2 linked regions of the Neurospora crassa OR74A genome follow. The main gene of each other region encodes a partner of the protein of the gene in region 2 in a complex. Links are inferred from orthologs where the notes say so. Each region holds a gene or a part of one and is shown on either strand. Other genes may lie near its edges.

What was found.
Region 1: NCU03827 (region 2) and NCU00564 share a complex: the UniProt entries of both Saccharomyces cerevisiae proteins name them as parts of the mitochondrial small ribosomal subunit. The link is inferred for Neurospora crassa OR74A from reciprocal best matches to the Saccharomyces cerevisiae genes MRPS9 and MRP2.

Annotation. Positions count from the first base shown.
Region 1 is NC_026501.1:7,985,096-7,990,484, forward strand, and holds NCU00564 (mitochondrial 37S ribosomal protein MRP2), read right to left. Parts: upstream 3,096-5,389; 5' UTR 2,891-3,095; coding exon 2,784-2,890; intron 2,703-2,783; coding exon 2,531-2,702; intron 2,413-2,530; coding exon 2,350-2,412; 3' UTR 1,994-2,349; downstream 1-1,993. Other genes in the region: NCU00565 (lipoic acid synthetase), read left to right, coding at 490-1,486, 1,548-1,843; NCU00563 (hypothetical protein), read left to right, coding at 4,402-4,469, 4,535-4,650, 4,721-5,389. UniProt on the Saccharomyces cerevisiae protein: Component of the mitochondrial ribosome (mitoribosome), a dedicated translation machinery responsible for the synthesis of mitochondrial genome-encoded proteins, including at least some of the essential transmembrane subunits of the mitochondrial respiratory chain.
Region 2 is NC_026505.1:2,535,291-2,541,877, reverse strand, and holds NCU03827 (mitochondrial 37S ribosomal protein MRPS9), read right to left. Parts: upstream 4,281-6,587; 5' UTR 3,649-4,280; coding exon 2,793-3,648; intron 2,666-2,792; coding exon 2,574-2,665; 3' UTR 1,711-2,573; downstream 1-1,710. Other genes in the region: NCU03826 (elongation factor 1 gamma domain-containing protein), read left to right, coding at 4,512-4,541, 4,637-4,823, 5,092-5,140, 5,198-6,158; NCU03825 (hypothetical protein), read right to left, coding at 6,579-6,587. UniProt on the Saccharomyces cerevisiae protein: Component of the mitochondrial ribosome (mitoribosome), a dedicated translation machinery responsible for the synthesis of mitochondrial genome-encoded proteins, including at least some of the essential transmembrane subunits of the mitochondrial respiratory chain.

The sequences.
Region 1 (5,389 bases), on a different chromosome or scaffold from region 2:
CTCATGTCGTTCCAGGACCCTCGCCACTAACACCCAGTTCCACCTTTGGTGTAGCAAAATGTTGAAACAGATCGGGTAGGATTGTCTGCAAGTCAGTCAGTCGGCTGCTTCCAGACTCCCACGCGCAACAACATGGGGTGAACTGCTGGACTCCAAAAGGGTTCGCAAAATGGAGTCATCGCCGGCAGCACAAGGAATGGGGGTCCCGGTCTTGCCGGTTCAAGAGCTGCCTCTAATGCGCCCCGGCAGCTGGCGGGTATGATCGGCGTTACGTAACCGGACATGGGCGGCGTGGGCCACTAAAATTCATCAAAGGCTCCAAAAGCGCCGGCGCACCGGGGGGCCGAACTTTTTGTCTCCATCCCATGCTCCCCCAACGGTAGTCATCCATATCATCCGCATCCGCCACCCAAGATCCCCCGGCTTGTTTGCAGCAGTTCACGACTGGTAGGGTTCCGGCCAGCTCAACACCAAGACTTATCACACATCATGGCTTCACCGGTCCCGATCCAGCGTCTCCAGGCGCCTTTGCGGAGGTCTCTTGCGCGCGCCGCCGCCCTGTCGACTCGGTCATACGCCACCATCCCCTCTGGCCCATCCAGCCAGCCGACATCGCAAGAGTCATCATCAGCTGCATCCGCATCCGCGCCCGCAACCAAGCCGCGCCCGACCTACTTTAAGGACACCACTCTCGCTTCCCTCGACGACTTTATCGCAAACCAATCGTCAGCCGCTCCTCTCGCACCCAGCGAAGCTTACACCCTGCGCACAGCCGAAGTCGGACCCGCCGGCAAGAAGCGTACCATCACCCGCTTGCCTGAATGGCTCAAGACACCCATCCCAAGTGCTGGCGCGAACCCCGAATTTGCCAAGATCAAGGCCGACCTGCGTGGTCTCAATCTTCACACAGTATGCGAGGAAGCTAGGTGTCCCAATATCGGCGAATGCTGGGGCGGTTCTAACAAGGCCGCCGCGACGGCCACCATCATGCTTATGGGCGACACCTGCACACGTGGCTGCCGCTTCTGCAGCGTCAAGACAAGCCGCAAGCCGCCTCCGCTGGATCCTCACGAGCCCGAGAACACCGCTGAGGCTTTGGCCCGCTGGGGTCTCGGTTATGTTGTGCTGACGAGTGTCGACCGTGACGATCTGGCCGATGGTGGTGCCCGACACTTTGCAGAGACGATTCGCCGGATCAAGCAGAAGAAGCCGACCCTGCTTGTCGAGGCCTTGACCGGTGACTTTGCTGGTGACTTGGACATGGTTAAGATTGTGGCGGAGAGCGGACTGGATGTGTATGCGCATAACGTTGAGACTGTTGAGAACTTGACGCCTTACGTGCGTGATCGCCGTGCCACATTTCGCCAGAGTTTGAAGGTGTTGGAACACGTCAAGAAGGTCCGGGGCAAGGAAGGCATTATCACCAAGACCAGCATCATGCTTGGTCTGGGTGAGACTGAGGAGGAGCTCTGGGAGGCTTTGAGGGGTAAGTCATACCAATTGCGCTTGCCCATTTGATGGATGCTGACCATGATGTTGCTTTGTAGAATTGAGGAAGGTCGACGTCGATGTCGTTACCTTTGGACAGTACATGCGCCCAACCAAGAGACATCTCGCGGTCGAGAAGTACATCACTCCCGACGAGTTTGAGCTCTGGAGGCAGCGTGCGCTTGACATGGGCTTCCTGTACTGCGCTAGTGGTCCTCTGGTCCGTTCTTCATACAAGGCCGGCGAGGCTTTCATCGAGAACGTCTTGAGAAAGCGCTCTGGCGAGAAGGTTGTCTCTGAGGCTCTTGGTCAGGCGGTTGCCGCCGAGGAGGCGACTAGCGTCCAGTCCTCTTGAGGCAGCTTATGCTAGATGTGGTTTGCGGAGCGTGTTTCAACATTTATAATCGGGATCTAGGCTTTCACAGCTATCCTGTGGCGGGCAAAATAACAGACGGATGACGGATCGGTTATTAGGCACCTTGGGGGTTGCATGCGTTTTGGCGTTAGGGGAGATTGGTTCTTTCGATTACTTTGAAAAAGACATTCATTCGTTTGCCGTGTCTGAATATAATATTGTAACAACAATTCTACACAGCGGGCATCGGGAGAGAGATTCCCATGTCCAAAAGGATGCATCATACAAACTCCCTCTGCCCACTGAAAAGCTTTTGAAGCACTCCTCATCATGCGATCACTTACTTATACGGGTATCTCAAAAACCCTGCGTACAGTGATACTTTCTTACCAACACGATGGCCCGAGCCCATCTGGGTTTTGAACAGAGTTTATTCGCCTCTGGGCGTACCGGCACCATCTCCAAACCACAACAAACCTCTGGGTTCCTTGTAGCCATGCTCTCTTTTACCAAGAGGCCTTCTTGACACCCGGAATGTTACCCATCAGGGCGTTCATACGGAAATTGTACTGTTTGCGATCCAACAGTGTTAGCAAGTCGCGCGCCTTTGCAGGTTTCCATCATTCCCATGCGGAGCTCAGCTCTTAGGACACCACTCCTTCTTTGAAGCAATCGATAGCGACATACTCTTGTCATCTTGAAGTCCCTCAAGATACCTCGACTCTTTCCACCAAGGATGCAGCGGTTCCGGATCTGCGTGGGCCTGGTGTAGGCATGCATCTGGGTGAGCTGGAGCTGGGCGACGGCCCTGGTACGGGCAGGGAGGGTGGTGTTGCGAATAACGTAACGCAGGGCTTGTCTGTATCATAAAGCAAGGAGTCGTCAGATCGTTTGTGCTTATTATAGTCGCAAATAAGGATCGCAAGGCGTAGGTAGTTACCTCTCAGGCTCGGCCTCCAAAAAGGCCTTGCGCTTGGAGTGGTCACGAAGGACCCGGACGTTGGTGAAGCACCCGAGGTCGAGCTTCTTGGCACGAAACATGGACATTTTGGCGGTTTGGTGTTCTGGGGCAGATTGGCGGGCTGAGTCGGAGATGGGCGTCGATAGCGGCGGATCGAGGCGCGTAAATCGATGTCACAGGCACTGCAGTCGTTGCTTCCCTCCGGCGTCGTCGCCCGCTAGCCGCAGTCACTCTCCCCGGCTCCCACGGCGGCCAGTGGCCTGTGCGCTTGCCGTCCAGCCCTGCCGCGTGCGGAACGACAAATTCTGCCGGGCGGTGTCATTTTCATCGCAGGTTGCAAGCGCCAAACCAAGCAGCAACAAACACTTTGCCAGGTGTGCCAGTCGCACACCAGCTGGACGGCACTTTTTCTACGGGGCTCCACTCAAACTCTCAAGCTTGCAGCTCGTGCACAGGCCACATCTGGGCCTATTTAAGACTGGCCCCCCCTCCCAAATTTTTACCTGGTTTTTTCTTCTTTTTTTCTTTAGCTCTCTTTGCCTTTTGGCTTAGATCAAGTGTAGTATCTGTTCTTTTCAGTTTAATCTCTGAAACTGCTCTACGGAGTAGAATCGTGATTATTCTAATTTTTGCAACTCGGTCGGCATCCCTCTGGGCTTGCCTATGGTTGCCGACCACTGTGTCCCTGGTATTACACTGCCTCCAGGCGACGCGAACTCAACACTACTACTTGCTTTGTGCTCATCTTCACTTTTTCGTTGCAATCTCTGGCTACAGGCTGGGGGTGTGAGGAAGAAGGATTGTTTTGGATGGGTTGACTGAGTGGTGCCTTTCGAATCATTCTACCTACCAAAGATGTAGTTGTCGTATGCGAAACGAGTGTGTTAAGTTCACCCGTACCTTACCGAATACGTTGTTCACGGGTTGCAAAGGTTGATGCCTGCCGTTCGCATGTGACAACCACATCCACCACCACTTTCGTACGTTCGACGCACCCTTTACCAATGCCTTTGATGATCGCTGGTGTTTAGCAGTATACGTTCTATCAGTCTACGGATGATTGCTCTCGTTTGCAGCAACCTTGAGCCTGCCAAAAGAAACACCTGCATGTTGAAGCGGCTTTCGGTTTGTGTGCGACTGTTTCCTATGAAAATTGTTTGTCAAGCAAGTTATCTCTATGATGGGATGGGGAAGGTCTGGATGAGATGGGCAAGAGACCCTACAGTATGTCAACACCTTGACGGTTGCAATGTCATCGCGGTTTGGCCATTCATCTGAGGAGAGGGAGTCGAGTGTCTCGTTCGTTGTCTGTTTACCTTCTCATGTTCGCTCGTTAGTATCATCCCATTCCGTACTCCGACTTCGCCTATCTCGTTCTGTGCCTGAGAAGGGAAGAACAACTGCTGGGCTCCTTCCGTCCCATCTTCAACCGCTTCCGTGGCCTTCGAGTTTCTTCGCGATCCTCCAAGCAACGAAGTGTTTAAATACTCCTCGACGCGATCAGCGTTCTAGGCTATCCTTCCTCTCGCTTGCAACCGTCTTTTGACTCCTCCACAACAACGCACCCAGGAAACTCGACGACTTTCCAACATACAAGATGTTTCGTCGCCGTTGGTCAGGCCTTCCGGCTGAACCAAAGTTCGCCCCAGATCTCAAGAAGCTCAGGTTCGTGATAATCTGCCTAGTCATCCTTCCCACGACACTCACTCTGATATATCTTGTGCGTATAGTTATTTCATCAACGAGGAAGATGAAGTTCGCTACGTGCATGACCCCGACTTCTACTTCAAGTATTTCTCGACCAAGAACACGAGGTACAACGACTGCCAGCGCTTCGCATTCGACCGTATGTAACAAACTCCCTATTTCTTACAATAGTTTGAGCTGATACTGACCCAAATGTTGCAATCTAACAGAGGCAGTCAACCAAATCATCGACTCACGGCTGGAAGCCGAGGGTCTAAAGGAAGTCCTCCTCCCGCTCGGGGTTGCCAGCAAAGATGAACCTCACGCCAAGATCCGTCTCAGCGAGGATCTCTCTAGCAAGTCACGCGTCGTGATCATCTTCGGCCAGTCTTGCCAGGACTTTGGCATTCTGGCACACCGTGTCGCTAGCGGACAGGGTGGTCTCAACAAGGGCTCGATGGTGAACATAGTCAAGGCTCTCAAGCAGCAGAAGTCTTCCGCCACCGACGACGCTGCCCCTGGTATCATTCTCGCCAACCCCGGTGACCTCTGGTGGTGGCCTGAAGGGAAGAAAGGGCTGAGTGAATTTGCTCGTCATCAGATTCCGGGTAGCAGTCTGGTTCACTGGGGCTGGCACCACGATCCGGCGAGGAACAGCATTTCGGAGAATGCCAATCCGACGGAGCACCTCAAGTATATCTTTGAGAAGGTGGTGCCGCAGTTCGTCAACGATAAGGCCAAGATCGATGTCATCGCGCTTGGTGACATGTCGGACGAGGTGGAGCAGTATCTCGACAATGACGATGTTTGGGCGAAGATCGGACATAGGCTGAACGCTCTTGTTGTGCTGGGTGGCTTTTACGATATGCGTGAGGCAAAATGCCCGGGCTTCAAGAAGT
Region 2 (6,587 bases):
GGACCGGGCTCTAGACAATTGAGTTTTACTGAACACCTACGGATTCGAATTTGGATTTCACAGGCATGGCAAACGAAATACCGTTCCGATTGTGCTTATGGTACAAGTCAGTACGAACGCCATTGCCAATCGAACAGAGCGGCCAAATTCAAATCATGAACCGATCAACTTCTCCAACTTCACAACTGTTTGGAAATTCGGACAGTTACACGTATCTGCCACGCCGCTGACCTCTACGAGAAGGCATCACCAAATTCCCTCCGTTCCTTCTTCACTGAGTCAATTCCTTTGACAATCATGATGTTTCCGCTCACATTAACTAGTTGTGACCTGTCGCAATCGAGCCACTACGTTTCCACTCACAAGACGAATTGTTGGCTAGTACCTAGAGGTAGTTATCAGCTCGAACGATAAATAATCCGTCTATGCAGTAGTGTAGGTCCATCGTCGTGACAGCATCCACTTACGTTTCCTTGGGTCATTACAATGGTCATGCACTCCATTTAGCAGCAGTTCAAGCGCTTACACTCGCATAATCTAAAGATATACGGCGTAACACCAGCCCATCGATGCATCGTTTGGTTTTCCCCCTCCCGGGACCGAGGCTAATAAGTCAACTGTCTGACTTGACTGAATCCACGATACATATGTACCCACAAAGTCGCTGCAAAATACTTGGTCGCACGGGCCACCCCCGGCCTTGAGGCCAAGATCGGACATGAGTTGAAGTTACTAAATCGATATACCAATTCCTAAATCTCTCATATCGAGGTGCTAGTTACTAGTCTCGAGCATTCAAGAGCATCAAACGTCAAATTCAAATTCGAAATCCAGCTGTTTCCCGAACATGGGAGATTGGTAGCGAACGCGCGCACGAGACCGGACTTTATCCTACAGGACAGCGGCCATTCGCATAACGGATCACAAAACAGCCCTCATTTCCTCCGTTACCCAAGCCTTGGGTTACGCGTCTAAACTCCTAAAAGCATTTTGGCATTCCCTTCTAAACAGTATCATGAATGACTCCAGCAATTCGTGATTTCTTCGCACTTTTCATCCTTTACCTTGCGGCGTAGCGGGGTCACCAAAGACGTAGTTGTATGTAAGGTACGTCTTCGGTGTGGGTAGAGGTAGCGTAGATTTATCAGCCCACACAATGGGTTGATCAGGATTGTCACTGAGCATGTCATCAAAACACACTGAAGCGATCCTGACTATTGCATGTATGAGGAGAAACAACAACTCCTGGGTTGTATGCTCTCAATGACAGTTAGACAAGAAACAGATTGTCCACTTAAAAATGTCATTGGAAAAGACGAAACCCATAAAATGTCACATCCGACTTCGAAACAGCTTCTAGAAGCATATTTGTCCTTGACAACAACCTGATAGACCACCACAGCCAAGTGTGTGTGTGTGTGTGTGTCTGTGGACCGGTTGTTGACGACTTCATCCTCAACCTCTCCAGTCATATTGCAGAAATATTGTGCAGCTTCCATAAAACCATCGTTATGTATCGACACCATCAAGTAGTGATTTCAGACGAGACGGGACCGCATAGGTCTCATCAGCTGCCAGAAGTCTCCCAATGCGTTCATCTGGCACCAATCACATCCACAAATTGGGTGATTTTGCCATGACAATCCAGGTCAAAGGGAGCATACTCTCGACCACCTCATACTACATAGGTCACTTATATACGAACGCGAACGTGAGCACTGCAGTGTATGGACCTCTGACTACCTATTCCGACCTCATTACGGGCCAAGCATAATGGGAATGGTGGGACTTGGGACAATAATAAAGCATGACAAATGGTTACCAAACACCATCTTATATAGGATCCTTACAGTCCCCCAGGGCCCTCGGGCGAGGATGCTGAACACGGATTGCACTCTGCCGCCACGGGAACGGAATCTGAAGTTCAGAAAACGCGGTTCTGACAGCGCGGCTAACCCACGTGTGCCCTGCAGTGCGTATCGTTCCCACCTAATCTGTGAGATGGGAGTTGTTCGGCATGCCTCTTACACATTGGATGTAACCCCCGGATGGTTCATGACTTGTAGTCGCACGAATCAGTCAACCCATCACAAGCAAAACCCATGTCAAAGTTGCAGTGATGCCGGTTGAAGAGGCCGGGCGTCGAATCGGTTTGCATACCTTTTTTTTCCATGGCAAAAAGAACCGTTGTAACCCCCCCAGCACACACATAGATTGTATTATACACACACAACAAGGTCGTGCCGGCCCCCCCCTAACACGGTTTGTTGAACCCCTCCTGTACAAGTACACGCGTGCTTGCCTGAGATCGACCTGTGCTGAACTTGGTAGGCCCAGGCGAGGCCACAAGCGAGACGGACACTCACATGCATATCCACATATAGAGTACGCACATGAGAGAAAATGCTTCCCAGAAAGAAAGGAGCTGTGATGCTGCGCTGGTGGGGAAAAAAAGCATCGCTCCATTTGACTGGTCGTTCGTGCATAAACCGAAACTGAGGCAGCATATTCACAATGCCCCCCCAAAAAACGAAACCCATCCAATAATACCGCAAACTGTAGCAGGAGGGCGATTATCTCTTGACCCAGGTAGGCATCTTTCTGGCCTTGACATGGCCGTGTTTCTTTCTTTCGACCTTCCTCGGGTCGCGTGTGACACATCCGGCTACAGTAAAAGAAAGAGGGACTTGTTAGCAAAGGTGCATCATCCCTACCTACCATACCGCGAAAGCCTGTATGGCGAGGCACAATCATAGAAAACCAAAACATGTGTAATGTAGTGCGAAGCTTACCCCTTCTTAACGCCGGCTTCAGAGCAGGCTCATGAGCCAGCAAGGCCTTTGCGATAGCCAGCGTAATGGCCTCCGCCTGACCCGTGGTACCACCACCCTCCACCTTGACCCAGACGTTGTACTTGTCAATGCGATTTGTTGCGCGCAAAGCCCAAACAGCGCTCTCGCGATCGTGAACCCGCCCAAAGTACTCGGCCAAGGTCTTCCCGTTGACCAGAACCTCGCCGGTACCCTCCACCACGAAGGCCCGAGCACTCGAGGCCTTTCTCTTGCCGACTCCACAAGCGCGGCCAAACTGGTCAATCGGGATCGGCTTGGCGACATTTGTAAAGGGTTGTACGTTGCGCCTGAAGCTGTCGAGCACATCCTTGATCTCTTGTGGCTTAAGGTCGGGGTGGATCGAGTTGAGCCGTTTGACGAGAGCCAGACACCTTGCGAACTCGGATGCCTTGACCTGCTCGCCGAGCTCTTTCCTGATATCCTCGAGCGTCTTCCAGGCCACGCGCTCGACGGCGGTCGCGGGGATGACAGGAAGGTCTTCGTACTCCTCCATGAGCTTTTCTAGGGAAAGATAGTTGTCGTAGAACCGGGGCGTCCGGGTGAAGTACGAGGGCGACACGGGGACGGCACGGGCATAGGGATGGAGTTTGAAGTTGTCTATGCTGAGCGCAGGGGCGGCGATGAATTGGCCATCTACGTTCGGGTTGTGGTCGTGGGCGTGGGTGGACAGGGACCTCGAGCTGATGCGCAAAGCGCCGAATTGCTGGTCAAGCGACTGCCATTGCGCCGACTTGGAACAGCCCTGGCGGGAGCTCCGAAGAGCACTGGTAATGCTGTGTCTAAGAGATGCCATCATTCATAAGCGGCTGTTCACCTCTCGTACATTATCGGGCCCCGAGGGCTACTGGATCGGGAGAGGAGTGGGATTGGGGTTCGGGTCGAGGTGTGGTCGGCTCGCCGATGGGTATCTTTGGGGCTGTCGGGGGCGAGGGCAGGTCCAGCGCGGGCAGTGGTCAATCAGGTCCGGACTCCGGGTCCCGTCTGCGCGTCGTGGGCCGTCCCGCGGCGGAACAATTCGCAAGAGGATTTTTCCACCCGGCAAGCGGAAAATGGGAGCTCGGACCACCCATGCTTCCCACTCAAGCACCGCACTCACTGGACCCGACCTCACCTGGGCTCCCGTCACCTTCCCCTCCACGCATGCGGCCCCGACAGGGGGACCATTCCGCCCGGCAGGCAGATAAGACAAGATGCCCGGCAATCAAGCGGCACCGTTTTCCATGGGCTGGAAGCCTGGCAGCCATCAAGGCATGGCACGAGGGAACTGAAAGCACAGACAGCGGAAGTGTGAATCACTGGCCGAAAGCATACCTCGCTAGGTACCATCAATGGAATCCCATCTGGGCAGCCTTCCACAGCCGCCAACGGGCCGGCGGGCGGTTAAGGTACTGAGCTCTCTCATGCATTCTGTCGAGTTCCAGCGCTGTGAGGTTCTGATGTGAGGGGAAGCAACCCAGCCGCCAAAACGGGATGCAGGCTCAGCAGCCAGGCAATTTCCCCGCCACTGCCGTGGCCGCGCGCATGCCCCACCACAGATAAAATTTCCTCTGTGTCTTCCCATCCACATCATCCATCGCACAGATCCCTTTTTATTTGCTTCCCCGTCACCCCTCTTCTTCCCAAACCCATCTTTCCTCATCATTGATCAAATTATCAAAGATGGCCTTCGGAAAGCTTTACACCTACGAGGTAAGATGAGCAGAATTCAGAGATTGCGGCGCTCGTCTTGACACGGCGGGCGCCTGCGGACGAGCGCCGACATTCTAACAGATTCTGCTCACTAGGCGAACCCCCGCTCCACGGCCATCTTGGCTGTCGCGAAGGCCAACAACCTCGACCTCGAGGTTATCAAGGTCGACCTTGAGGCTGCCATCGAGGAGTACAAGAAGGTCAACCCTCTCGGCAAGGTCCCCACCTTCGTTGGTGCCGACGGCTACACTCTCTTCGAGTGCATCGCCATCGCCATCTATGGTACGTTGACAGAATATGTTGGGCGTCAAGCAAGACTGCCCTGCCCCGCACTTTGAAACACGCATCAACTTTGCGCCAGATACCCTCTGATGTGCTAGCGCACAACCCCTTGCCCCTTCGACCTGATGACCGAGACATTTTTCAAACAGTTATCCCTATCTGAAATACGGTGTTGACTTGGTTCTAACTTCTGACTGTCGAACTCACTCTTTGTCCTCCTGCAATTGCCACGTATCTTGATTGGACAGTCATGGCTAACGGACAACAGTCGCTTCCCAGAACGAGAAGACCACTCTCCTCGGCAAGACCAAGCAGGAGTAAGTTTATGATCGAGCATCCAAACCTGTGCAATCACTTGCTAACGCGTGGTTCAGCTATGCCTCCATCCTGAAGTGGCTCTCTTTCTTCAACACCGAGGTCCTTCCCCCTCTTGCTGGCTGGTACCGCCCTCTCCTTGGCAAGGCTCCCTACAACAAGAAGGCTGTTGAGGACGCTCAGGCTACTGCCCTCAAGGCCATCTCTGTCGCCGAGGCCCACCTCAAGAACAACACCTTCCTCGTTGGCGAGCGCATCACCCTTGCCGATCTCTTCGCCACTGGCATCATTGCCCGCGGCTTCGAGTTCTTCTTCGACAAGGCCTGGCGCGAGCAGTACCCCAACGTCACCCGTTGGTACACCACTGTCTACAACCAGCCCATCTACTCGGCCGTTGCTCCTCCCTTCGCTCTCCTTGATACCCCCAAGTTGACCAACGTCGCCCCCAAGAAGGCTGAGGCCCCCAAGCCCGCCGCCCCTAAGCCCGCTGCTGCTCCCGCCGCTGCCGCTGAGGAGCCCGCTGAGGCCCCCAAGCCCAAGCACCCCCTTGAGGCCCTTCCCCGTGCCTCTTTCCCCCTCGACGAGTGGAAGCGCCAGTACTCCAACGTTGACACCCCCGAGGCCCTCAAGTGGTTCTGGGAGAACGTTCCCTTCACTGAGTACTCCATCTGGAAGGTCAACTACAAGTACAACGATGAGCTCACCCTCACCTTCATGTCCAACAACCTGATTGGTGGCTTCAACAACCGTCTTGAGGCTTCTCGCAAGTACCTCTTCGGCTGCGCCTCCGTCTATGGCACCAACAACGACTCCGTCATTCAGGGTGCCTTCGTCATCCGTGGCGATGACTGGAAGCCCGTCTTCGACGTTGCTCCCGACTATGAGAGCTACGAGTTCACCAAGCTCGACCCCCAGAACCCTGAGGATCGCGCTTTCGTCGAGGCTGAGTGGTCCTGGGACAAGCCCGCCCTTGTCAACGGCAAGGAGTACCCCCACGCCTCCGGCAAGGTCTTCAAATAAACGATACCACGAACAAATTAATTTAAGGAAGGAGGTTATACCAACAGGAGTTTACTAGACTACGGGATTTTATGATGACTTGATGAACAAATATTGATGGGTTTCGAAGGACAAGCCGTTTTTGCCCCTTTTTCTCATGAGCTCATGTGTATCGCTCGCTGATGGATAGTCGTCGCCGATGAATGAGTCTTTAGTAGATGCTAGTAACCTGTCGAAATCTCCGATAAAAGTTGTTTTCATGGCCAATTGCTATTCCATTCCCGTAAATGCATAATAAAGTGTGGTGAACCATGCATGTTCCATGAAAGTTATCCTCATTTCGAAGTCGTATTCGCTGTAACCAGTCTAGTCTACCGGGTATGATCATGTCCAACCGAGAACTCCCATCTCATTATTTCCTATGCTCTATCCTGAACATTCCTATTGAGC